3 linked regions of the Caenorhabditis elegans genome follow. The protein of the gene in region 2 purifies or fractionates together with the protein of the main gene of each other region. This does not show direct contact. Each region holds a gene or a part of one and is shown on either strand. Other genes may lie near its edges.

Evidence for each region.
Region 1: the proteins of T02G5.7 (region 2) and ech-7 fractionate together in Caenorhabditis elegans (co-fractionation; one large-scale study listed by BioGRID). This does not show direct contact.
Region 3: the proteins of T02G5.7 (region 2) and uroc-1 fractionate together in Caenorhabditis elegans (co-fractionation; one large-scale study listed by BioGRID). This does not show direct contact.

What each region holds. Positions count from the first base shown.
Region 1 is NC_003279.8:14,364,528-14,371,455, forward strand, and holds ech-7 (putative enoyl-CoA hydratase, mitochondrial), read right to left. Parts: upstream 5,247-6,928; coding exon 5,005-5,246; intron 4,334-5,004; coding exon 3,955-4,333; intron 3,947-3,954; exon of another isoform or gene 3,870-3,946; intron 3,242-3,869; coding exon 3,092-3,241; 3' UTR 3,089-3,091; downstream 1-3,088. Other genes in the region: slc-30A5 (Proton-coupled zinc antiporter SLC30A5), read left to right, coding at 107-610, 1,897-2,130, 2,786-2,878; bbs-1 (BBSome complex member BBS1), read right to left, coding at 6,796-6,928.
Region 2 is NC_003280.10:7,073,232-7,079,869, reverse strand, and holds T02G5.7 (Acetyl-CoA C-acetyltransferase), read right to left. Parts: upstream 4,257-6,638; 5' UTR 4,244-4,256; coding exon 4,114-4,243; intron 4,065-4,113; coding exon 3,517-4,064; intron 3,472-3,516; coding exon 3,098-3,471; intron 2,927-3,097; coding exon 2,806-2,926; 3' UTR 2,682-2,805; downstream 1-2,681. Other genes in the region: kat-1 (Acetyl-CoA acetyltransferase homolog, mitochondrial), read right to left, coding at 4,461-4,581, 4,656-4,995, 5,045-5,180, 5,231-5,383, 5,480-5,743, 5,846-6,055.
Region 3 is NC_003282.8:16,535,872-16,546,289, forward strand, and holds the start of uroc-1 (putative urocanate hydratase), read right to left. Parts: upstream 6,879-10,418; 5' UTR 6,836-6,878; intron 6,497-6,835; exon of another isoform or gene 6,476-6,496; intron 6,453-6,475; 5' UTR 6,452-6,452; coding exon 6,326-6,451; intron 6,048-6,325; exon of another isoform or gene 6,023-6,047; intron 5,583-6,022; exon of another isoform or gene 5,556-5,582; intron 5,526-5,555; coding exon 5,254-5,525; intron 5,208-5,253; coding exon 5,066-5,207; intron 5,020-5,065; coding exon 4,891-5,019; intron 4,887-4,890; exon of another isoform or gene 4,866-4,886; intron 4,855-4,865; exon of another isoform or gene 4,834-4,854; intron 4,538-4,833; exon of another isoform or gene 4,517-4,537; intron 4,287-4,516; exon of another isoform or gene 4,266-4,286; intron 3,900-4,265; exon of another isoform or gene 3,879-3,899; intron 3,580-3,878; exon of another isoform or gene 3,559-3,579; intron 3,499-3,558; coding exon 3,206-3,498; intron 3,139-3,205; exon of another isoform or gene 3,118-3,138; intron 2,935-3,117; coding exon 2,593-2,934; intron 2,541-2,592; coding exon 2,419-2,540; intron 2,339-2,418; exon of another isoform or gene 2,318-2,338; intron 2,214-2,317; and 15 more.

The sequences.
Region 1 (6,928 bases), on a different chromosome or scaffold from region 2:
ACTTTCACTGCAAAAGTGGTGCAAAAGTCACCTACAAATATTAGTGTAAAATACACAATTTCTATCAAATTTTGATAACTAACTATATAATTTTTTTTTGATGCAGATTCTCTCCGGCTTCATCAATGCCCTATTCCTATGTGTTATCGCGTTGTTCATCCTTATTGAAGCACTCGAACGACTCTTCGATCCACCAAACATCAACACTGATCGTCTTTTATTCGTCGCAATTTCCGGACTTATCGTGAATCTATTCGGAATGTATTCTCTCGGAGAACACGGACATTCTCATGGTGGTGGATCGAGTCATGGTCATTCCCATGGTGGAGGTGGTAGTCATGGACACTCTCATGGTGGAGGAGGAAATGCGAATATGCAGGGTGTATTCCTTCATGTTCTTGCCGATACACTTGGTTCTGTATTTGTGATCATTTCGACGTTACTTATTCAATGGTTCGGATGGGTTTGGGTTGATCCGTTGTGTTCGTTGATCTTATCACTTCTGATCATTGGATCAGTGTATCCATTGTTGGTTTCATCGATTAGTACGTTGTTGCAAGATGTTCCGGAGGAAGAGGAGTTCGAGTATCATATTAATGAGATTTTGGAGGTATATCATTGTTTTTTTTTTTGGAAATTGGTACTGTAGGGGTACTATAGGAGTACTGTAGGGTGTTGTAGGATTACTGTAGGGTTGCTGTAACTATAGGGGGGCTGTAGGAATATTTTGTTGGTACTGTAGGGGTACTGTAGGAGGGTTACTGCGTTGGTTGTGTAGGATTACTGTAGGAGTTTTGTAGTGATATTGTTGGAATACATAATTTGTTATGGTTATGTATGGGCTACTGTACGGATACTGTATTGATACTGTAGGGATATCGTAGGAATACTGTAGGAATACTGTAATAGTATTATAGGGGTATCGTAGGAGTACTGTATTAATACTGACGGAGTACTGTAGGAATACTGTATTGGTACTGCCAGAGACTGTGGGAGTACTGTAAGGATATTATTACTTATGGGGATATTTTAGGAATACTGCATTGGTGCTGTAATAGTATTATAGGGGTATCATAAGAATACTGTACTGTTGAAATTAATTCATCGATCCTTGAATTTCGCAAAAATTTTTGTCGCACAGAAAGTGGGGCGGAGCGTAACTTTCGCAATACTGCCGCACGGTGTTTTTGTACGCCTCTTTTCCAATGATTTTCTTGTTGATTTTTTCGAATAAAGTTTCAATTTTACTTGTCTTTTCGTTTTTTCGATTTGGATAACGTTCTCATTCGAAAAAAAAACAAACGAAGAAAGACAAATAAAATTGAAACTTTATTGAAAAAATCAAAATCATTAGAAAAGAGGCGTACAAAAACACCGTGCGGCAGTATTGCGAAAGTTACGCTCCGCCCCACTGTCTGTGTGACAAAAATGTTCGCAAAATTCAAGGATCGATGAATTAATTTCAACAGTAGAGTATTCTTATGATACCCCTATAATACTATTACAGTACCAATACAATATTCCTAAAATATCCCCATAAGTAACAATATCCTTACAGTACTCCAACAGTCTCTGGCATTACTACTGTAGGGGTACTGTAGAAGTAGTGTATTGGTACTATGAAGGTACTGCATTTGTTATCGTTATGTATGTGGTACTGTAGGGGTACTGTAGTTCTAGAAATATTGTTTTTTTTAGTTTCTGCGAGTTCCTAAAAAACATCGTGGAAATTTCTGCAACTTTTTGAAAAAATTCAAGAATTTTCTGAATTTCCTTCAGAACTGTCCGAAAATTTCTGAAACGTTCTAGAAAGCTGTTGGAAATTTTAAGAAACTTTCTGAGCTTCTGAACAAAAAATTTAAATATCTGAAAAAAAACCCCTTAATTTTTGCACAGATCGAGCACGTAGAATCGTATTCAAATGCACACATGTGGCAGCACAAATCGGATATCAACGTGGCAAGTGTACACGTTCAAGTGAAAGAAGAAGCGAATGCACAAATGATTCGACACCGTGTCTCGAATATCCTGAAGAGCACTGGAGCCACCCACTCAACTGTACAAGTTGAGAAAAAGACATTTGCACACAGGATACAACAAGTGTGTCCTGGATATAAAGCTGGTTATACGGTACGGGATGCTTTGTTGCTTAGAGGACAAAATATCTTTAAAAATGACAATTTTTCAAAAAAAAAGTTGTTTTTTTTCAGGAAATGTTTTATTTGATTAAATTTAATAATATTTCTAAAAACTACAAATTTCTGATTTTTTTGTTGAATTTTTTCATTCGAAAAAAAATAATTTGGAGCATTTTTTGCCATTTTTATATTTTCGATAGTAATAATATATAAAGTATTAAAAATATCTGAAATTGTAGATTTTTCCAATTTCAGAAATTTTTAATTACTTTATTACTATCGAAAATATAAAAACGGCAAAAAATGCTCCAAATGAATTTTTTTTCCAATTTTCAACAAAAATCTGAAATTTGCAGTTTTTAGAAATATTATTAAATTTCGTCAAATAAAACATTTTCTGAATAAAAAAATCGTAATTTTTAAAAATTAATTTTAATTTTTTTCGGAATTTTCAGTTAATTTTCGACTATAAAAATGAGAGAAAGTTGAAATTTCAGAAATAAAAAAAAATCGTTATTTAAAAAATAATGCTAAAATTCTGAAAAAAATTGTTAAAAAATTGTTCCTGAAATTTATGAAATTTTCTCAAATGTTGAGCATTTTTAATTGAAAAAAAGGGTAAACATTCAAATTTTCTCCAATTTCAGGTAGTCCGCGGAAGTGTGATAAGAGAGAAGAAGCATGATCATTCACATCACCACGGGCATTCACACGACGATCACAGCGGACATCATCATTAATTTATTCCAGTAGTATTTTTTTTCTTCTGAAATTCACTTATTTATAGTCATTTTTCCCCTTTTTTTCTAGTGTCTTTGCTTTACATTTCGGGATAATTTATTGTGTTTTTGTGTGTTTTTTCCCTTTTTTTCTCCCCCAAAAACCACCCCAAAGTTCCTTCAAAGAGTTAATGAAATTAATTTATTTTTAGAAAAAAAAAACGTTTTTTTTTTTCAACTTGAAGTCCATTTGGGAGCCCGTTTCTCTGCGAAAGCTGACATTCCTTCCCGGCGGTCATTGGTGGCGAAGGTCGACTGGAACAACTGCTTTTCCATTTCAAGGCCCTGATTTAGGCTGGTTTGGTAGGCCGAGTTTAGGGATCTCTGCAAGAAATTGGGAATATAATGTCTGCCTATGTGCCTACCTCATGCCTACATGTCTACCACATACCTAGGCCCCTAGCTCATACCTGCTTACCTGCCTATTCACTGACTATTCACAGCCTTTTTGCTGCCTACGATCCTGCCTGCCTTATGCCTACCAGTCTACTTCATGCCTAGGCGCCTACCTCATACCTACCTACCTATTTTATGCCTGACTGCCTAGCTACTTGTTTTCCTCATGCCTACATATTTTACGACTACCTGCCTGCCTCTTGCCTACCTTATGACTAGGTGCCTACATGCATTCCTTCTTGCCTACGTGCCTAGCTGCCTACATGGCTGTCTCCTACTTCATGCCTACACACCTATGTTATGCCTCTGCCTACCTACCTGCCTTACTCCTAGGTGCTCATTTCTACCTACCTACATAGCTACCTTATTTATGTCTCCCTATCTGCCTGCCTACCGCATACCTACCTAAAATATGCCTGCCCGCGTGCCTATTTCATGCCTACCTATTCTTTTATTTTCTTCTAGCTTGCCTGCCTACCTAATGCCTACCAAGTTTACACCTACCTACATACCTAATTTGTGCCTACCTTATGATTATGTGCTTACATCGGCCCTACATCGTGCCTACATCTTGCCTGCCTACGTGCCTATTCCATGCCTAATAGGCAGGTAAGCAGGCGTAGGCATTCCCGAAAACGTACCTTGACAGTTTTCACAATAAGAGGAGAATTCTTAGCGATCCTATCAGCCAACAGAACAGCCTCCCCAACCAACTGCTGCACCGGGAACACCTTGCTCACCAGGCCGTCTTCCTTCGCCTCCTGAGCGCCTAGTCGGTCGCCTGATAGGCATATTTCCATGGCAACTGACTTGCTCACATACCGGGGCCATCGTTGGGTACCACCTAATCCGGGGATGGTTCCGATGGTGATTTCCGGTTGGCCGAATATTGCATTCTCTCCAGCATATACTATATCACACATTAAGGCAAGTTCCGTGCCTCCGCCTAAGGCAAATCCGTTGACAGCGGCGATCACAGGTTTTGTGATGTGTGATAAGGTGTCCCAGTTCGTGAAATAGCTGAAAATTAGGTATGTTTTGTGCCTGCCTGTCTGCCTAGATGCCTAGCTTGTGCCTACCTGCCTACATGCTTACTATACGTCTGCCTACCTAGGTTGATGCGGGCCTCATGCTCGCTGTCCACACGTCCATATACCTGCCTAATGTCTGCCTGCCTTTGTGCCTTCTCCATGCCTAGATGCCTAGTTTGTGCCTGCCTCCTTCAAACCTACCTGCCTACGTGCCTATCAACTTACATCTGTCTGCCTTCCTACGTACCTACATACTTACCTACCTGCAAGCATGCCTACCTACCTCACGCTTATCTAATGCATGCCTACCTACACGATTTTTGCTCAGCCATCTCTACCGGCCCTGTCTTCAGTGTGCCTGCCTAAATGTGCCTACCTGCCTGCTTGTTACCCTATATACCTGGCTACCTACCTACCTACCTGCATGCACGCCTACCTACGAGTCTACGTGCCTACCTTGGTCCCTACCGCATAATCATATCTGCTTACATGCTTACATGCATCTGCCTAGATATTTGTATTATGCCTACCGGCCTACCTGACTATCTTCCGGTCTTTGTACTTGACTGCGTGCCTACCTACATGCCTGCCTGCCTACCCTCAAGACAAATAGACACCATGTAGGCACGTAGGCAGGCAGGCGCCTACACCAAAACTCACTCATTCTCAAAAACATCTGCAAACTCCAACTTGGCCATCTCCTTGATATCGGCTCCGGCAGCGAATGCCTTCTCACTTCCAGTGAGCACAATCACATGGTACGACTGATCCTTCTCCACTTTCAGCAGATTTTCAGACAATTCCAGCATAAGCTCACGGCAGAGAGCATTCAGAGCACTCGGGCGGTTCAGAGTGATCAGTGCAACGTTTTCGGCGGCTCCGGTACGTGAGAGGGTAATCATCTGGAATAAAAAGTGGAATTGGAAATTGACAACACTTTTGGCTTTGTGAAATTGGACAAAAAACGGGGGATATAGTCAGGGTACTGTAGTAGTACTGTAGGATTACTGTAGTTTTGGAAAAATTGGCTTTCTGTCTTTCGAAGGGATGATGGTTTGGAGTGAGTGGGGGGGGGGGGGGGATATGAGCAGGGTACTGTAGTAGTACTGTAGGGGTACAGTAGGAGTACTGTAGGATTACTGTAGTTATGGAAAAAAAAAAATTACTGTTCGTCTTTTGAAGGGATATTGACTTGAAGTTAGTAGGGGGATATGATCAGGGCACTGTAGTAGTACTGTAGTGGTACTGTAGGGGTATACGGTAGGGTTGCTGTAGTTTAGCAAAATATGAGTTTTTAGCTTTTGCAGAGGTATTGGGTTTGGAGTTGGTGGGGGATATGATCAGGGTACTGTAGTAGTACTGTAGGGGTATTGTAGGTATAAGATAGGGTTACTGTAGTTATAGAAAAATTGGCTTTGTGTATTTTTTAGGATTATTGATTTGAAGTTAGTAAAGGGATATGGTCAGGGTACTGTAGTAGTACTGTAGGGGTATACGGTAGGGTTACTGTAGTTTGGGAAATTTGATATTTTGCCCTTTTGGGAATTATTGACATGATGTTAGTAGGGGAATATGGTCAGGGTACTGTAGTACTGTAGGGGTACTGTAGGAGTACTGTAGGATTACTGTAGTTTTGGAAAAATTGGTTTTCTATCTTTTGAAGGGATATTGGTCCGATGGTCGTAGTCGAGGTACTGTAGTAGTAATGTATGGGTACTGTAGGTATACGGCAGGGTTACTGTAGTTGTAGAAAAATTGACTTTCTATCTTTTTAAGGAATATTGACTTAAAGTTAGTAAGGGGATATGGTCAGGGTTCTGTAGTAGTACTGTAAGGATACTGTAGGAGTACTGTAGGATTACTGTAGTTTGGCAAAATATGAGTTTTTAGCTTTTGAAGAGGTATTGGGTTGGGAGTTGGTGGGGGGATATGATCAAGGTACTGTAGTGGTACTGTAGGGTACTGTAGGTATAAGATAGGGTTACTGTAGTTGTAGAAAAATCGACTTTTCGTCTTTTGAAGGGTTATTGCTTAGGGGTTAGTGGGAGATATGGTAGTACTATAAGGGTTTTTTCTGAAACTTCAATTTTCTCCGAAAATTTTCACAGAAATCTGGATTTCCGAAAGTTTCACAATAAGCCTAATTGATTTTTTTTCTGAATGAATAACTATTTGGTATAACTCAATGATTTGTTAATTTTCAAAGTTTCTTTTGTCTGTTGTAAGAATTGTTGAACGTTAAAAAAACATCTACTTCAAAAAATAGTTAAAACGGTGCCAGTCGTTGTCCGCGCCGGAGTCTGGTTTATTCAATATTTTTATATGTATAGCGGAAAAATAGAAAAATTGATAAGAGTTCAGTGATAAGGAGCACACCACCACCAACACATCATGGCATGATTCTGGGCTCAGCGAGCACACAAATCGGAGCCAATAAGGGGAAAACTGGAACTAATCAAGTGGAAATTCGCTGAAGGGCATCTTGATGACCGCAGTCACAATTGGTGTGGCCCGTTTTGCATGGACTAGGAGGGCTCGGACATCGCAGTTGGCGGCCTTCTCCGGATCCTTGCAGTAGAGCAAT
Region 2 (6,638 bases):
CGTCACGCACGGAGAGAGCTTTGCGACGAGGAGCTCTTTTAGATGTACCGTAGCTCACCGGATCCTTCAGATACTCGCGAATACAGTGTCGAGAACGGGAAATTTTCCTACTCATTTCATGCAGGGACACATTGAGCAATTTCATAACATCCAGCTGAGCGCGTTCAGTGTCCGAAAGGGCAGATCCTCGAGGCATTGCAAGTTAGACTGCTTTCGAAGTAAGCTTTCCAGCCTCTATATGTGTGCCACAACACATGCCACAATTCCACATTTAATAATTCACGCAAAAAATAGTAAATAACATCTGTGAGGGACAATTTAACTTGAAATATTGGTCCCATGGAACCTTGTAATCAAAGAAAAACGATTTGATTCCTGATAAGCCTTCCATTGTTTCCTGCTGCATATTTTGCCAAATCAGCTTGACTACACAGTCGAAACATCTAAAGTGCGTGCTAGGAATTTTAGTAGGAACTTGTTAAAGAGAGTTTATCAAGTTTTGGCATTACCGAGAGCACCAGGAAGCTTGAAACAGACTTGAACATCAAAGATCGGAAGAATCAGAACCAGTCTGGAGATCCCACGAGAACATTTCGTATTAATTTTTTAAAGTCAAAACTGCTTATATGAACTCATTTCTAACTCAAACTTGATTTGAGCTTTGTCAAAAATTCCAAAATCTGTTGATTTTAGTAAAAATCGTGAAAAAAAACGGGGGGTCCTATAGAAGTTTCACACTGGATTTTGACGTTTTTTCCAGCGCGACCTCAGTTTTTGAGATAAACTTCTGGAAAAAAATTTATATAGGTTTTTTTCAATTTAAAAACGAACGGCATTAGCAGTTTTTCGAAAAAATTTTCGGAAGTTCCTCAAACCTTCAAATTAGGGGGGGTCCTATAGAACTTTCCCACACTGTATATTCAATATATTTCTAACGTGAGCATTTCAGGTACTGCCCAATGAAGCCGTCGAGCCAGTTGTCCTTCAATGAGGATTTCAGCCGAGATTTCGAAAACCGCCGATTCCAGCGCAGTCGTTATCAATTTTACAAGCATTCCTCATTAATTCAGAAGATCTACGCATCATCCGAAGATTCTTTCTAGAAGATCCAATTTCTCAATACTTTTTTATATCGGGTCCAACTCGTTTATTTTCTACAAGCTTTCACAAACAGATAGTTTATTGAGTTACCCGTTCATAGCCTTTATTGATTCCAAATTTCCCATCTCACACTTTTCTACGGTCTATCATTTACTTTTTCTGCTAATAATGAATTATTCATACCGTATAATGGTCTCTATATTATCCACGTAACAACTTGTGCTTTTTCGTCGAATTGTCATCAATTTGTGGAAGAAAGTGGTAACTGAAAGAAAGAAGTTTCGAAAGAAATAGTTGTAGAGTTGTAGAATCACTTGTCAATTGCATTTGAATAGTTGGCGAGAGCTGCAATATCGAGAAAATGTGTAGCCAGGAAGGTATAGCTCTGAAAATAAAAATTTACAATTCGTTTTTTTGTTTTTACAAGCACATGTAACTTTAGAACCTTCTCACAAATCGCATAGGTGATGGCGATTCCTTCTTCAGTCGATGTGCTTCGTGCTAGCTCATCAAGAACTACAAGTGAGTTTTTATCGGCATACTGTACGATTGCAGCTGCATCTGACATTTCAGATGCAAATGCAGACTTATTTCTGATCAACTCGTCGTTATGACCCATTCTGGAGAAGATACGATTAAAAACTGAAATTAATTCGACGATAGAAAATAGCAAATCAAAACTTTTAGGTTACTTGGCAACGAAGCATAGTTTGCTGGAATGAAGCATCCTACCTATGCCATGATTGCTAGTTGGGCAGCTTGTTTCAGATATGTTGACTTTCCAGCCATATTTGGGCCTGTAATAATTCCGAAACGACGATCTCTTGTCAGACACTGAAATTACAGATAAAATGAAATCAATGGATTCCTATTCATTACCGTATCGTTTGTGATTGTTTTCTCGGAATCATCCCAGTCCAGGAAGATACTTTATTGAGTTACCCGTTCATAGCCTTTATTGATTCATCTCATTTCTTCACCAGGCTCGTCTTCCAACGCTGCAACATAAAGTATTCTTCATACGAGGATCGTTTGGCCCAAGCCAATTTGAAGTCAGTGCAATATAGGCGGGTCTTGCAGATCCTTCGCACCTACCACAACATCATAACTGGAAACTTCCACTACCCAAATGTGTCATCGTCGGTGAAGAAAGCTGTAACTCCAAGATACCCCTACATGCTCAGATCTGTTGGCGAAACAAACAAAGGATTCCTCAGAGCCAACCTCGCCACCTGGAACCGCCTAGCAAAGCAAATCCCGGAAAAATTAAATCGCTCTATGTTTGCTTCCCGGTTAAATTCTTCCCCCCTTAATATTCTCATTCCCCCAACTTGATCTCTCAAACTAATAATGGTTTATGGGATCATTTTATCATCCACCAATTCTTCCCTGTGATTATTTGTATACGATCTCCCCTTATATGTTTTGCCTTGAAGACGTGAATGAATGATATATCTCAAAAGAAAAATGCTTTTCCGATTTTTCCAGTATATCTCTTTTGAGATGGCTCAAAACCATTCCTGATAATGTACATATTAACCTTAATTCATTTCCCAATCAATAACACGTATGCACCATTTGAGAATAAACATTTATGTGACAAGAACCTTAACTATTTATAAATACGTAATCGAAATTTGTTGTAAAAGTGAATCAAGGAATGATGAATAGAAGACCAGAAAACATTTAGGCAAGAGGTTCATATTACAGTTTTTTGATGAGCACTGCTGTGGCTTCTCCTCCTCCGTTGCAAATTGCAGCTACACCGAGCTGTCCTGGAGCTAAAGAATATGCAAGGGAGTTGACGATTCGGAGACCAGACATTCTGAAAATTATTAAAATTAATATAGGTTTGTTCGGACTTAAAGTTTACTTTAAAATTTGTATGTTTTGTTTTTGTGTTTTAGAATGTTTTTTTGCTATCAGAATTTTCTCTGTACACATTCTAATTTTTCCGAAAACGCTCACTGAAGTTTGAATCAACAAAAAAACTTACCCAAGTGGATGCCCAATCGCTACTGCACCTCCTTTTACATTAACAACACTTGGCTCAATATTAAGTTCTTTGATGAAAGCAAGAACAGTGACGGCAAATGCTTCGTTGAGCTCCCACAATGCAATGTCTGAAACTTGGAGCCCGCTTTTTTTGAGAAGAAGACGAACGGCGTCCACTGGTGCCACGGTGAAATCAATGGGAGCTCTTCCAGCTTCAGCAAATGCCACGAGTTCAGCAAGTGGATGAGCTCCTTGTGGAAGAGCATTCTCTCCGACAACGACAGTTGCGACAGCTCCATCATTAAGCGAAGATGCATTGGCCGGTGTGATGGTTCCAGTGCCGTCACGAACGAAGACTGGTTTCAAAGAGGAAACCTAAATAAGTTTAATATTTTTGATAAACATTTTCTTTCTGCATACCTTTGACTCGATCAGTTTCTTATACTCCTCATCTTCAGTGATCACTACTTCCGATCTCGAAGTCTTAACACTAACTGGTACCACTTCTTCCGAAAACTTTTCAGAACTCCATGCATTTGAAGCTTTTTTATAACTTTCAATAGCATATGCATCTTGTTCTTCTCTAGTAATTCCATAATCTTTTACAGTCTTCTCAGCACATAATCCCATTGGACCTTTCTCTTTAATATCTTCAAGTCCATCCTTCGAGATTCCATCTGTCATCTGGATTCCTCCAAATGGAATTTCTCCTCTCGGCACGTAAAATGGAACTTGACTCATATTTTCAGTTCCAACAACAAGAATAGTGTCATAATATCCTGCTTTGATTTCCACAGCTGCTGTCACCAAGGCTTTCATCGAAGAAGAGCAAACCTTGTTCACCGTAACAGCTTGCGTTGTTACTGGAAGACCAGCCGACAAAGAGATCTGTCGGGTCACATTTTGTCCTAGACCGGCCGGAAGTACGCATCCACCAATTACTTCTTCGATTTTCTCCGGAGCAACTCCTAAAAATATTTAATATTTGTTTCAAAATTTCATTATCAGTAATTTAACCTGATCGTTCAATTGCTGCCTTTGCAGCGACCGTTCCGAGCTCAACTGCGCCAAAGTTAGCGAAAGATCCTCGGTAAGCTCCGATGGGAGTGCGAGCTCCACTCAGAATGAAAACTTTTTTATCCGACATTGCGATAGACTGTCTGAACTTTGGATTATTAGAAAAATCGCATACGAATAAAAAAAGATAACTGAAATTGGTTTGAAACCAATGAAAGAGAAGTAGATAATCAAAATAATAAATGAATCTATTTACCGGAGTTTCGATATGAGCGAAAAATACATAAATACAAGCTAATCGTGAAAAAAGGTAACAAACTTTAAACGAAAAAAGTTAAATTATAAATCTATAATTTCTGGATAACCATTCCACTTGAGCCACCACCTCCATTGCAAATGGCAGCAACTCCGATTTGGCCACTTTTGAGTGTGTGCACAAGATGAGTGATGAGGCGGGCTCCGGACATTCTGAAAGAAAAATAATCGATAACAAATTTACGATAAGAATGCGGAAAGAACGGTCAACTGATATGGCAACATACCCGATGGGGTGACCAATTGAAACAGCTCCTCCATGTGGGTTCACAAGGGATGGATCGACTCCTAGTTTTTTGATGAAAGCAAGGGGAACACATGAGAAGGCTTCATTAACTTCCCATTGAGCAACATCTGATTGCTTCACTCCTGCTCTTTCAAGAATTTTTGGGAACATCAAAGTTGGTGCTACAGCGAAATCGAGTGGGTGCGTGGCGGCATCTCCATAAGCCAAAATTCGGGCCAGAGGCTTTAAGCTTTGCTCGGAAACTGCTTCCTGTGAGGCAACAATGACAGCAGCTGCACCGTCGTTCAATGTTGAAGCATTAGCAGCAGTGATAGTTCCGTCTTAATATATTATGTTGATTTCAATTTTCACGATAAGAATAGTACAAACCTTTCTGGAAAACAGTTCTCAGCGAGGTGAACTTGTCGAAATTGACTTTTGTGAACTCTTCATCTTTATCAACAATCGTGACTCCCTTCTTTGATTTGACGTTCACTGGCACCACTTCTGGTCCGATATTTCCATTCTAAACAACATGGAATCATAAAACGCACAAAGAGCAATCAGTTGACAAACCTCCCATGCTTTAGCTGACTTTTTGTAGCTGTTGATAGCATATTCGTCTTGGTCTTTACGTGTAATTCCCATTTCTTTTGAAGTCTTCTCTCCGCAGTTTCCCATGTGAACTTTATCATAAGCATCGGTCAGTCCGTCTTTGACGATTCCATCCTGAATAAGAAAATGTGAGCATTGATTTCTTTTAAAGAAGTTTAAAGACTATTTTTAGACAATTTAATATTTTTTAGAAAAATAAATTAAACTCACAATCACTTGAAATCCACCATATGGGATCTCTCCTCTTTGAACATAAAATGGTACTTGTGACATGCTCTCCATTCCTCCGCCAATGGCAAAATCTTGATGACCGGTTTGAATTTGCTGGGCAGCAAGAATGATTGCTTTCAGCCCAGAAGAGCACACTTTATTGACGGTGGTAACAGCAACCGAAAGATCGAGTCCGGCTCCAAGAGCTGCTTGACGAGCGGGAGCTTGACCAGCATTTGCTTGACAGACTTGACCAAGGAACACCTGAAATTGAGGCATTTTAAGATTAAATCGGTAGTTTTTGGAAGTGATATAGAATTTCAGATATTACTAGTATAGAAAAATGCAAACAAAGAACACACTCGCCTCCTGAATTGAACTCGGCTTCACTGCTCCACGCTCCAATGCTGCTTTGATGGCAACCGAGGCGAGCTCTGGAGCAGTTACCGAAGAGAGAGAAGAACGAAATGATCCAATAGGTGTACGGGCGGCTCCGACGATGAAAGCATGTTTGTTTGATAGTGCAGCAGATGTGGTGATTCCGCGGCGAATTGCGTGTCCAGACGATGACAACATTCTGAAAAAAAAAAGAATTGACTCGACACAACTTGTTTTTGAAAATAAGATAAGAGAATGAAGAAATTCGTTCGGATCGAGATGAATGAGAGACAGAACAGAAGAAAGGAAAGATTATGATGGTTAAATAGAAAAGCTAGTACGGCGGTGGAGCGAAATTGCACTTTCTGTAAAAAAAAAGAAGGAAAGAGAGATATAGATTTTCTAGTCAAAAGTAGTGCTAATAAGGTTTTGTCGTTCTCATAAAAGAATTGAGATTAGTTACGTGTAGCTGTGAACTTTGGCGGTTTCGATACTCCTAGGAGCTCCTTGATTCTTTCATACAGGAGTTGCACTTGCTTTTCAAGAGTTCCCACGTGCAATTGAAAGTCAACTGTTCTTCTGTGACATCACACTGGAGACAGTAAAGAAAGAGAGTGAGAGCAATGTTCATATATCTAAGATCAAATGATGATGACAATATAAACTATCATTACACAACATTTCGATGCAAAAACGTTGAACTGTCTCTGAACTGCCATTTTCTAACACCTAAAGTGCTACAATAGGGGAGATAATCATAAATTAGATTTACAGCCTAAAA
Region 3 (10,418 bases), on a different chromosome or scaffold from region 2:
GCCCATCAACTTGTTTTTCAGCACGTTGAATTGCTTCCTGAGCCTTTGCATTTCCAGACCAAGAACGACGAGTAACTCCATTAGGTACATCCCAATTGAGCATTCCTTCAGCTCGGCGGGCAGCATCACTTGAGCCATCAAGAACAATACCGAAACCTCCATTGATGACGTCACCCCATCCAACACCTCCACCATTGTGAAGGGCAACCCATGTAGCACCACGGAATGAGTCACCTGAAATGGAAAGGAAACAGTCATTGTGGATCAGTTTTACTCAATATTGATTTCATTTTTGTGAACAATGCGAAACAGTGAAATTTTTGAAAAATTATAAATTGTTGTTTTTTTTTAAATATGTAGCCCCTATCCACTTACCAATACAATTCTGTACAGCCATATCAGCTGTAAAAGCACTTCCATCATAAACATTTGAAGTCTCACGGAATGGAGAATCAGTTCCAGAAACATCATGATGATCTCTTGAAATTACAATTGCAGCCGACACTTTTCCAGATTTCACGAGCTCATTGAATGCAGAAGCCAATGCAACTCTTCCAGCACGATCCGAATATAGAATCCGTGCCTGTGAGCCAACGACGAGCTTATTTTTCTCGGCTTCTTCTATCCATTTCTTGTTGTCCAAATATTGCTGTTTCACGTATTCGGGGACTGAAACGTTGGTTTAACAGAGTCTATGAAACATGATAAATGTGCTTTGAAATTTGGAGTTGGTGGTTTGATTTGCTCAGCCTTATTAAACTAGCAAAAAATAATGATTCGATTTTTGGTTCTCAAAATGAAAAAATCAATGTCTCTGCTAGAAACAGAAAGTTTCAAAACTTGGCAGCAGTGTGAGTATATTTCGGAATAAAAATAACAACCCAATTAATTTTCAGTGGTACCCATTCAAGAAGAAGACGTGGTGATTTTTTGCAAATTTTCTCAGAATTTTTAAGAGCGAATATTTGTTAAAGTTAAGGGTACCCATTTCAAATAATTCATTCAGGATCATAGTATTTTGAAGATAATAAAAAACATAATTTTTTACAAATTGTCTAATACAATACGTTACAAATTAAAATGCAAAGTTGGAAACAGTGAAAAATTCTCAAATTCAACTTGTTTTCAAACCGCATCTCCTATCTCTCGTTTTGGTATACTTGCTTTGCGGTCGACACTTTGTGAATTGTTCATCATGGTACGACATATCCCGGGTTTCCGGGAACGATGTTAATTTTTTTCAGCGGAAAAGACATTTTCGGTAGACTTTCAACTTTTCCAAGCATAAATTTGATAAATAACCTGATGAGTTCCCCTAAAACTACATGTTTCTACTCTTAAAGGTGGAGTACCGAAATTAGAGACTCTGTTTTTTTAGAACAAAATGAGCCCAAAACTACCGAATTTTGTGATGAGACGTTCTGAAAATTTCTTTAAAAAAAGTTATGAAGGTTCAAAGTTTTAGAAAATAAGGCCCATTTTCAGCTAAAATCGAAATTTTATCTAATTTCTCGGTGTTGCAACGTTTGGAATTGAATTTTTATTTATTCATCTCTTTTTAATAAATAATGTGGCCTTTGATTGGGCGTTTATTCGTTGATTTAAGTACATTTATGGTCAGTGAGGCACAAAATGTAACTTTTATTTGTGCCCCAAAGACCATAAATGTAGTTAAATCAACGAATAAACGCCCAATCAATGACCACAATATTTATTAAAAAGTGATGAATAAATGAAAATTCAATTCCAGACGTTGCGACACCGAGAAGTTGGAAAAAATTTTGATTTTAGCTGAAAATGGGCCTTATTTTCTAAAACTTTGAACCGTCATAACTTTTTTTTTTGAGAAATTTTCAGAACGTCTCATTACAAAATTCGGTAGGTTTGGACTCATTTTGGTCTAAGAAAACAGAGTCACTAATTTCGGTACTCCACCTTTAATATGTTATTTTTTAATTCAGCAAAATTAATAAAATAAAATAATCGAACATACTTTAATGACTATGCGAAATTGTAGAAGTTTTCTGCTTTTTTTTAGCAATATTTCCGGAATAACCTCTTTCAAAAAGCGAAAATTATATAAACTTCTCGAAACAGTACGCTATTTTATTTAGTAGTTATTTACGGTTTCAAGAATATTACACTGGCTATTCGTTTTTCTTTTTTTTTTTCAACAGCTTCACATCCCTAAATTTCCTAACAAATATTAAAAATTAAAGTCAAAATTCGTCGGCAGTTTTATGGACAATATGAAACAGCATATATATGATTTCTCGCCAACAAATGCTCAATTTTATGAGATTAGTACTAAATTTCAAAGATACACACACTGAACCCATCAAATTTCTCAAAATAGTGAACATACATATAGCCATAGTGAAACAGTCGATTTTTTTGTTACAACATAAAAGCACTCACCATCAGTATCCTTCAACTCATCAATAATCTTGCATGCTGTCTGATCAGTCAATCTCAAATCTTCCGGCTTTCCAGAAGTACAAACCCATCGGAATGGTCCAAATCCCATTGAAAAGATGTCTCTGAAACAGAATTTATTTTATTTAAATTGTACTCTTTTCAAATAATTATTACCCCATAATATCCTGCATATAACTTGGATATCTAAACGATTTATCATCCTGAGCATCCTCTCTGAGCAAATTGGCTCCAGCTCTCTGGCATTCCAAAAGGAAAGCATTACCGTAATCCCAGAAGTACATTCCCTTTGCAGCAATCTTGTCGATGGCGGCGATTTGGCGGATTAAAGAGTTTTGAACAAGTTTTTTGAATTTTACAGGATCAGAAGTCATCATTTGATTGGATTGTTCAAAAGTGAGTCCAGCAGGGTAAAAACCTCCAAGGAATGGATTGTGGAGAGAAGTTTGGTCACTTCCCAGTTCTACAAGACATTCCGGTTCCTCGGCGAGCCGTTCCCTGGAATTTTGAAAACTCATAGTTTTTTGTCTAGAATTTTTGTGAATAATGTTTTACCAAGTTTATTAATTGTGAAAAATCTTTGTAAAAAATTCTGTAATTTAAAAAAAATCTTGGTTCCGAAACTATGAGATATATTATTTGTATTACAATTTTTTCCGCTTTTCTCGTTTCCTTTAATTATTTTCCCTCTTGCTCCGTAGATCGCCTTTCACACTTTCATAAAAAAATTTAACAACTTTCTGAAACAGTAAAATTTTCTAAAACTCACCACAAGTCAACAACATTCCCCAAATATCCAATACTAATTGCCTCTTTTTTCTCTCTGTACTCTTTAATCCAATTCACAATTTCCTCAAGATCCTTCGAATATACATCCAACCATCCCTGTTGATGACGTTTCAACAATGCAGTATCACTAATTTCCGCAATAACTCCAATACATCCAGCAATCTTAGCTGCTTTTGGTTGAGCTCCACTCATTCCTCCAAGTCCTGCAGTTACGAAAACCTTACCAGCAAGGGAATCCAGTCCCATACGACGACCAGCGTTGAGGACTGTGATCTGGAGAATTTTTACTGTTTCAGGGGGTTCAGAAATTCAGGAGAGTTGTGATGAAATTAATCGGACAAGAAGAATAGATCGAGAAAAACTCATATAGTGACGTCACTATTTTTCTATATGGGTAGAAAAGCTGTAATCTGTTGCATCTGGTCTCGAATCATTTAGATTTCTTTAAAATATTATAAAGTGAAAAGACTTTCAACTTTCTGCTTCTAATAAGTCAATTTTGAAAAACCTTAAGAAAATTACGAAATTCAAATTAAAAAAAAATGTTATCAGTTCTGGTTCATTATGTAACTACTGAAAAAATAAAAATAAAATTTACAAAAATTTATTTTTTCACAGTTTCTACATATTTTAGGGCTTTGTAAGATAGCTATTCGACTCTATTTAAGGTGGAGTACCGAAATCTGAGATTTTGCTTTTTCCGACCCAAGATTCCCCAAAAACTACTGAATTTCGTAACGAGACATTTTGAAAATTTCTCAAAAAAAAAAGTTATGGCGGTTCAAAGTTCTGATAAAAAAGGTCTCATTTTCAGCTAAAATCAAAAATTTTGTCATCTTCTAAGTGTCTGGAACTAAATTTTTGTTAAATTATCACTCTTTAATAAATACTGTGGTTAGTTGAAGTAAGTAAATTTTTTCAGTGGGACAAAATATTATCAGCTTTGGTTCATTATGTAACTCTTGAAAAAAAAATTACAAATTTCAGAAATTTATTGTTTCATTGTGTCTACATATTTTAGGACTTAGAGAGTTAGCTATTAGGAAGGTTTTCAAGAGAACACCGCTATAAATTAAAGCAATATATCAAGTTTTCTTGACGCCACTTCTCTACTACTTTGGTGGAGTTTGGATTATAAAATAACTAGAATAATACACAAAAACTTAACAAAAATCATTCAAATACTATCTGAAACCGTTGTATACTGAAAACCTTCTGTGTAGCCCATATCCCAGAATAAAATTTACTGTTTCAGTGTGTTCATATATTCTGGCAGTAATAAGGTGTTTAATGCCAAAACTTCAGCTTTGGTTCATTATATAACTATTTAAAAAAAAAAATAAAATTTACAAAAATTTAATGTTTCACAGTGTCCGTATATTTTAGGGCTGAGTTAGTTATTAGAAATAACATGTTTTCTTTGAGTCACTTCTCTACTACATTGGTGCAGTTTGGATTATATAAATGACAAGAATCATATTCAGAAAAAAAAACAAAAATCTTGAAATCCTTGAATTTTTGCCTTTGAAATTCCATCTAAAACCGTTGTATACTGAAAACCTTCTGCTTTGCCCATTTTCCAAAATAAATTTGACTGTTTTAGTGTGTTCATTAAATTTGACGGTAATACGGTGTTTTAATGCCAAACTCCATTTAACGGCTTACCGTAGTCCCGTGTACAATTCCCTGTGGTCCAATATAACAGAAACTTCCAGCAGTCATTTGTCCGTACTGCGTCACTCCTAATGCAAAATACTTGTCGTACAGCTCCTTTGTCGAGTAGCTCGGGATCATCTGAAATGTCAAAATGTACGAAGCATCCTAGTTTCCAAAGGCCTACCATTCCATTAGTAACAGTCATTCTTGGCGAGTCCGGGGTTGATGGAAATAGGCCCAATGGGTGTCCGGAATAGAGCACCAAAGTTTGATGGTCAGTCATTGTGTAGAGGTAACGAAGAACCAGACGGAATTGGATCCAATTGCTGAAATATCATTTCTCAAGCATTTCAGAAAGATTCCCATGCTAACCTAAAAACTTGACCATTTCCTCCATAAGTCACCAATTCCTGTGGAAACTGGGCAACCCGCTTGTCCAAATTGTTTAGAATCATCAAAATGATAGCCGATGCTTGTTCGCAATGAGCTCCGATCTCCGAGACGGGCGGCGCGAATAGATCAAAGTTTGGCATGAACCGATACCCATAGATGTGTCCATAGGTGTTGAGCTCTTCAGCGAACTCGGTGGCTAGAAGGACGTGATGCTCTTTTGGAATGTAGCGGAGAGCATTGCGGACGGCGAGCTGGAAGAATTTTATAGTTGAAGCTGGTTGGGACCTGCATTGAAGTTCGAAACAATAAATTTTGGAATTCCACTTGTATTTTATCAAGTAAGTGAAACAGACTTTTGTAACTAATAGCCAACAGCTTTTCAGCTCCTAAATTAAAATTTGATCTGATTCTTGATCTTCTTGATTGTTCTTGATCTCGAAAACTACATAGCCTACCGACTTCAAAAACTGCTCCAAAATTGCAAAAAAATTGTAAATTTTGTTACAGTCTTCTCTTACTTTTTTCTGAACTAGAATTGGCACAACAACTTCATTCAATTAATTGGTATCTCCCAAATTGCGCCGAGCACAGAGAACACTGTGCAACCCGGGAGATGTCGGAACAATAAATTATAACATTGATCTCATTGCAAATAGTTTACCATAATTAGGAGTAGATTTGAAAAATTAAAGGTAAAAATGTTCACTGTTCCAAATATTGCATTTCAATTTGTAAAAAGTTCTATTAGTTAGTCAGTGTAGCATTTAAACTTCTTGATGCAACAAAAAAAAGCTAATTTTATTAAAAACTAGGCAAAAAATTTCAGAGTTTAGCCAAATTTTTCTAAAAAATTTGTTAGTTTAGGCTCATTTTCAGCCAACTTGTCAAAGATTATGTTTCACAGTCTTCTTTAAAGCGCTCAATGAAACAATGAAACTGTTTTTGCAGTTTCAAAAAATTCATTTGAAAAGAAAAAATTCCAAGTCAAGTGCCTAAACGTTTTTAATGAAACAGTACATTTTTTTTATCTTTTCAAAGATAAATTTATTACCATTTTCTCTGTCTGTGTAAGATTACACGGACGCTTTGGTGCGTGAGCCACATTCTTGGCACGTTGCTCCGTTGGATGCTCGAGGAGCGGAGAGAATGGGTCGACGAAGAGAGATGGGATGTTCATGCTGGAAAATTGAGTCTTCACAAACCGAGTCAACAGTATACGAAATTAGAAAAATCAACAGTAAAAACATTTTCTCAATGTGATGAAACAGTAATTTTTAAAAAATAAAATTTAAAAAAAAATTTCTAGAAAATTCTAGAAGTTACCAGATTTTTCTAAAAAATTCTTAAAGTTCCCACATTTTTCTAGAAAATTACAGAAGTTTATAGATTTCTCTGGAAATTTCTAGAAGTTTCCAGTTTTGTTCTAGAAAATTCTAGTAGTTTCCAGATTTTTCTAGAGCATTCTAGAAGTTTTAATACAATTTATTGGTATAGTTCATAAAATTGACAATTGCCGAATTCCAAATTTCGGTAAAATTTCGGCACTCATCAAAAAACTAACCTCAAAATTTGCCAACAAAACCGAACTTATTCTGATCAGCAATGAAAGATTTCTCGTGAATGTTCGACTTCTCCTCCCCCTTCTCCCACGTGGTATGTTCCTTCCCGCCCAATAGATCACCGCCATAAAATTCTCTGTTTTGATGATTCTCGTCTTCTGGTTCCAGGTTACGATCCTTGACGACGACGAAACGGTCGGATGATTGCATTTTTATTGGTTAGTTTCAAGGTGTGTGTGTGTGTATTTGGAAGAGAAAGATGATAAGATCTGAATGCAGAATCTCGCGATTGGGTAGAATTCGAAAATAGAACATTGGGACTTTAAAATTATTTATAAAATTAATTTTTTAGTTACTGTTTCCGCTAGTTGTTATAAATCGGTGATATATATTAAGAGTTTTATTGGAAACACAACTTTCAGAGCTTATAAATTTGACCGTTTCAACTAGTTGTTATAAAACTGCAATTTATTTGTTGCTTACTACCTACATCACATTTGTAAGTTAAAACTGTAAAACGAATTAAAATCTTTGGAAAAACAGTTTTTTCTGTTTTTTGTTTGTTTTTTGGTCCGAAGAATTTCGAAAAGAAATACCAAATTTTGCTTAAAGCATCCATAAAAAATTATAAAATAGAACATTGGATTTAACGCGAATTTAGTGGAAATTAACCGTGAGGCTATGAAATAAAAAATTACAGTTTCAGCTAGTTGCTATGTAGATGCAGTTTTATATTTCCTCACTGAAGCGACTAAAATTACAACATTTTGAATTCTTGCAGAATTTTTGAAATTGAAAAAAAATACAGGAGGAAGGTCTTACCAAAAAAAGTTTTTGATCAAAAATAAAAATAAAAAAGTTTTTTTTTTGAAATATAGTTTTCTTTTGGTTTTTGGCCCGAAAAAAAACAGAACATTTAAGAGAACAGTTCAGCACTTTAGTCCTCCAGGTGTGCTGCTGGACCACCAGGATTCTGAGGAGCTCCAGTACAAGATAGAGCTCTAGAAAATTATGTTTCTTACGGGAACACCCGAAACACGGGTCAAATTGACCGTGAGACTATCCAATTAAATTACAGTTTCAGCGTGTTCTTATGTACAACACGCTGAAACTGTAAATTTATTGGATAGTCTCACGGTATACCCAAACCACCTGCACAATTTTTACTTCAAGCTCAGAATCGCAAATTTGGCTCAAATTGAACGTGAGACTATAAAATAAAATCGCAGTTTCAACTAGCTGCTATGTACTAGTGAACATTCTTATTTCTCATTAATCTTTTTCTGATATTTGCTGTAAATTACAAAATGTCTTGTTAATTACAAAAACTAAGGTTTCCATGAAGGCGTTCAAATTCCCACCTGCCTGACCTTAAGGCGATCTCCGCCTGCCTCTTGCCTCAATACGCGCCTTATTCTAAAACATACACGAACTATTTGTTTTTTCATATCTTAATTTGATTTTCAACAAAATTATTGAAATGAGAAAAAAACGTAAAAATGCGATTCGAGGCAGGCGTCAGGTCCCTGAAACCGCGCCTACCTATTATGGAAGATCCAATTCTAATCCAATCCAAATATGGAATGTAAACGGCACTGCAAGTTTGTAATTAAATCACAATGTTTGAAAAAAAAAACAGATTTTTACAATTTGACAGTTTCAATTAGTTTTTATAAAAATGGCATTTGTTTTTGATTTAGTAAAAATCTTAGTAAAAGAACCAAAAAAAAAAACTACGAATTTTGTTTTAAACTCCCCGACTGAAAATTAAAATTCGTCCAAAAACAAAAAACAATACAAAAAATACTTTAGGTATGTTGCTGGACTACCAGAACATGACGGAGCTCCACTAAATTATGTTTCATCGGGAACATCCTAAAAATAAAAAAAAATTAAATTACCGTTTCAGCTTATGTACAAGAAATTTCTTTTTTTTGTTCGGTTGCTAACCCGACTTCTATCTTAACTATGAAATTAGTTTTTTTTTTCAATTCTTGCACCGTTTTTTAAGGTTTCAACTAGCTTTTATAAAAGTTTTTAAGACTTTTTCCGTTTAGTTCATTACGGCAAAAAAAACTTTTTTTGAGCTCTGAACCCAAAAAAAATTATAACTTTTAAATTAATTTTTACGACTACAAAATACAATTTTTTGAAAAACTCCTTTTTGCCCGAAAAAACAGAATGAACCCTAATAATAAAAATTGAATTTTGAAATGAAAACCAAGCTCAGAATCGCGAATTCAGCTGAAACTGTCTGTGAGACTGTAAACTTAAAAAACCGTTTCAACTAGTTGTTATGTACAAGTGCAATTTCTTTATGCTCAGTACATTAATAATTTGGACAAAAAACAAAAATCTACGAAAAACCTATATAATTTGCATAATAAAATTGCATAATTTTGAATTCTAGAAGCGTGGGATTTGACAGTTTCAACTAGATCTTATGAAAGTGAACATGATTCTTTGCTTTATTCATTGTCAGTTCTATGCTCCATGCTGTGAATGAATATAAAAGTTAAATTTATTTCTTTTATATTGTAGGCTGTTGAAAAATAGTTTTTGAATACCAAAAAAATTTTTTGAGGTGTGCTGCTGGACCACTTGGATTCTGAGGAGCTCCAGTACAAGATAGAGCTCTAGAAAATTATGTTTCTTCGGGAACACCCGAACCACATGCACAAGATTTTGTGAATCTGTGGAGGACAATTGAACTGAACAAGATGAAATTTACTGAGACAGTCGGGCCACCAGGATTACTTCCAGCTCAAAATTGCAAATTCGGGTCAAATTGGCCGTGAGACTATAAAATTTAATTGCAGTTTCAGCAAATTGTTATGTACAAGTGAAATATCGTATTTCTCATTTTGGTTGTCTTTTAGCTTTTCAACTTTCTTTTATAAAAGTTTACTTTTAACTTTTTTTGGTTTAGTTCATCACTAGATTTGCTTCAAAAAAAATTACGGGAAAAAAACAAAAAAAAAAACTTTTTTGAGCTCTGAAACCAAAAAAAAATTAAAGTTTTAAAAATAATTTTTCCGACTACAAAATACAATTTTTTTTTGAAAAACTCCTTTTGCCCGAAAAAACGGAATGAACCCTAATAATAAAAATTGAATTTTGAAAAGATAACTTAGACCAGAATCGCGAGTTAAGCTGAAATTGATTGAGAGACTTCAAATTCAAATCACAGTTTCAGCTAATTGTTATGTACAAGTGCAATTTCCTTATGTTCACTGAGAAACATTTTTAGAACAACAAAAGTCTACGAAACACCATAAAATTGCAAAACTTTGAATTCTTGTAGTTTTTTGATTTGACAGTTTCAACTAGATGTTATAAAAATGAACATAATTTTTTGCTGTATTTGATCTTCTGTTCTCTCTTCTTCTGTGAATAAATAAAAAAGGTAAATTTATTTGTTCTATACTATGTGAGCTATCTGTTAAATATCAAACAAAGTTTTGATCAAAAATATAATCAAAAAAAATCTATTTGATTTTTGGACCAAAAACATATTTTTTAAAAATATAGTTTTTGTTTTTTTTTTGGTCCGAAAAAAACAGAGCATCGAAAAAAACACTTTTA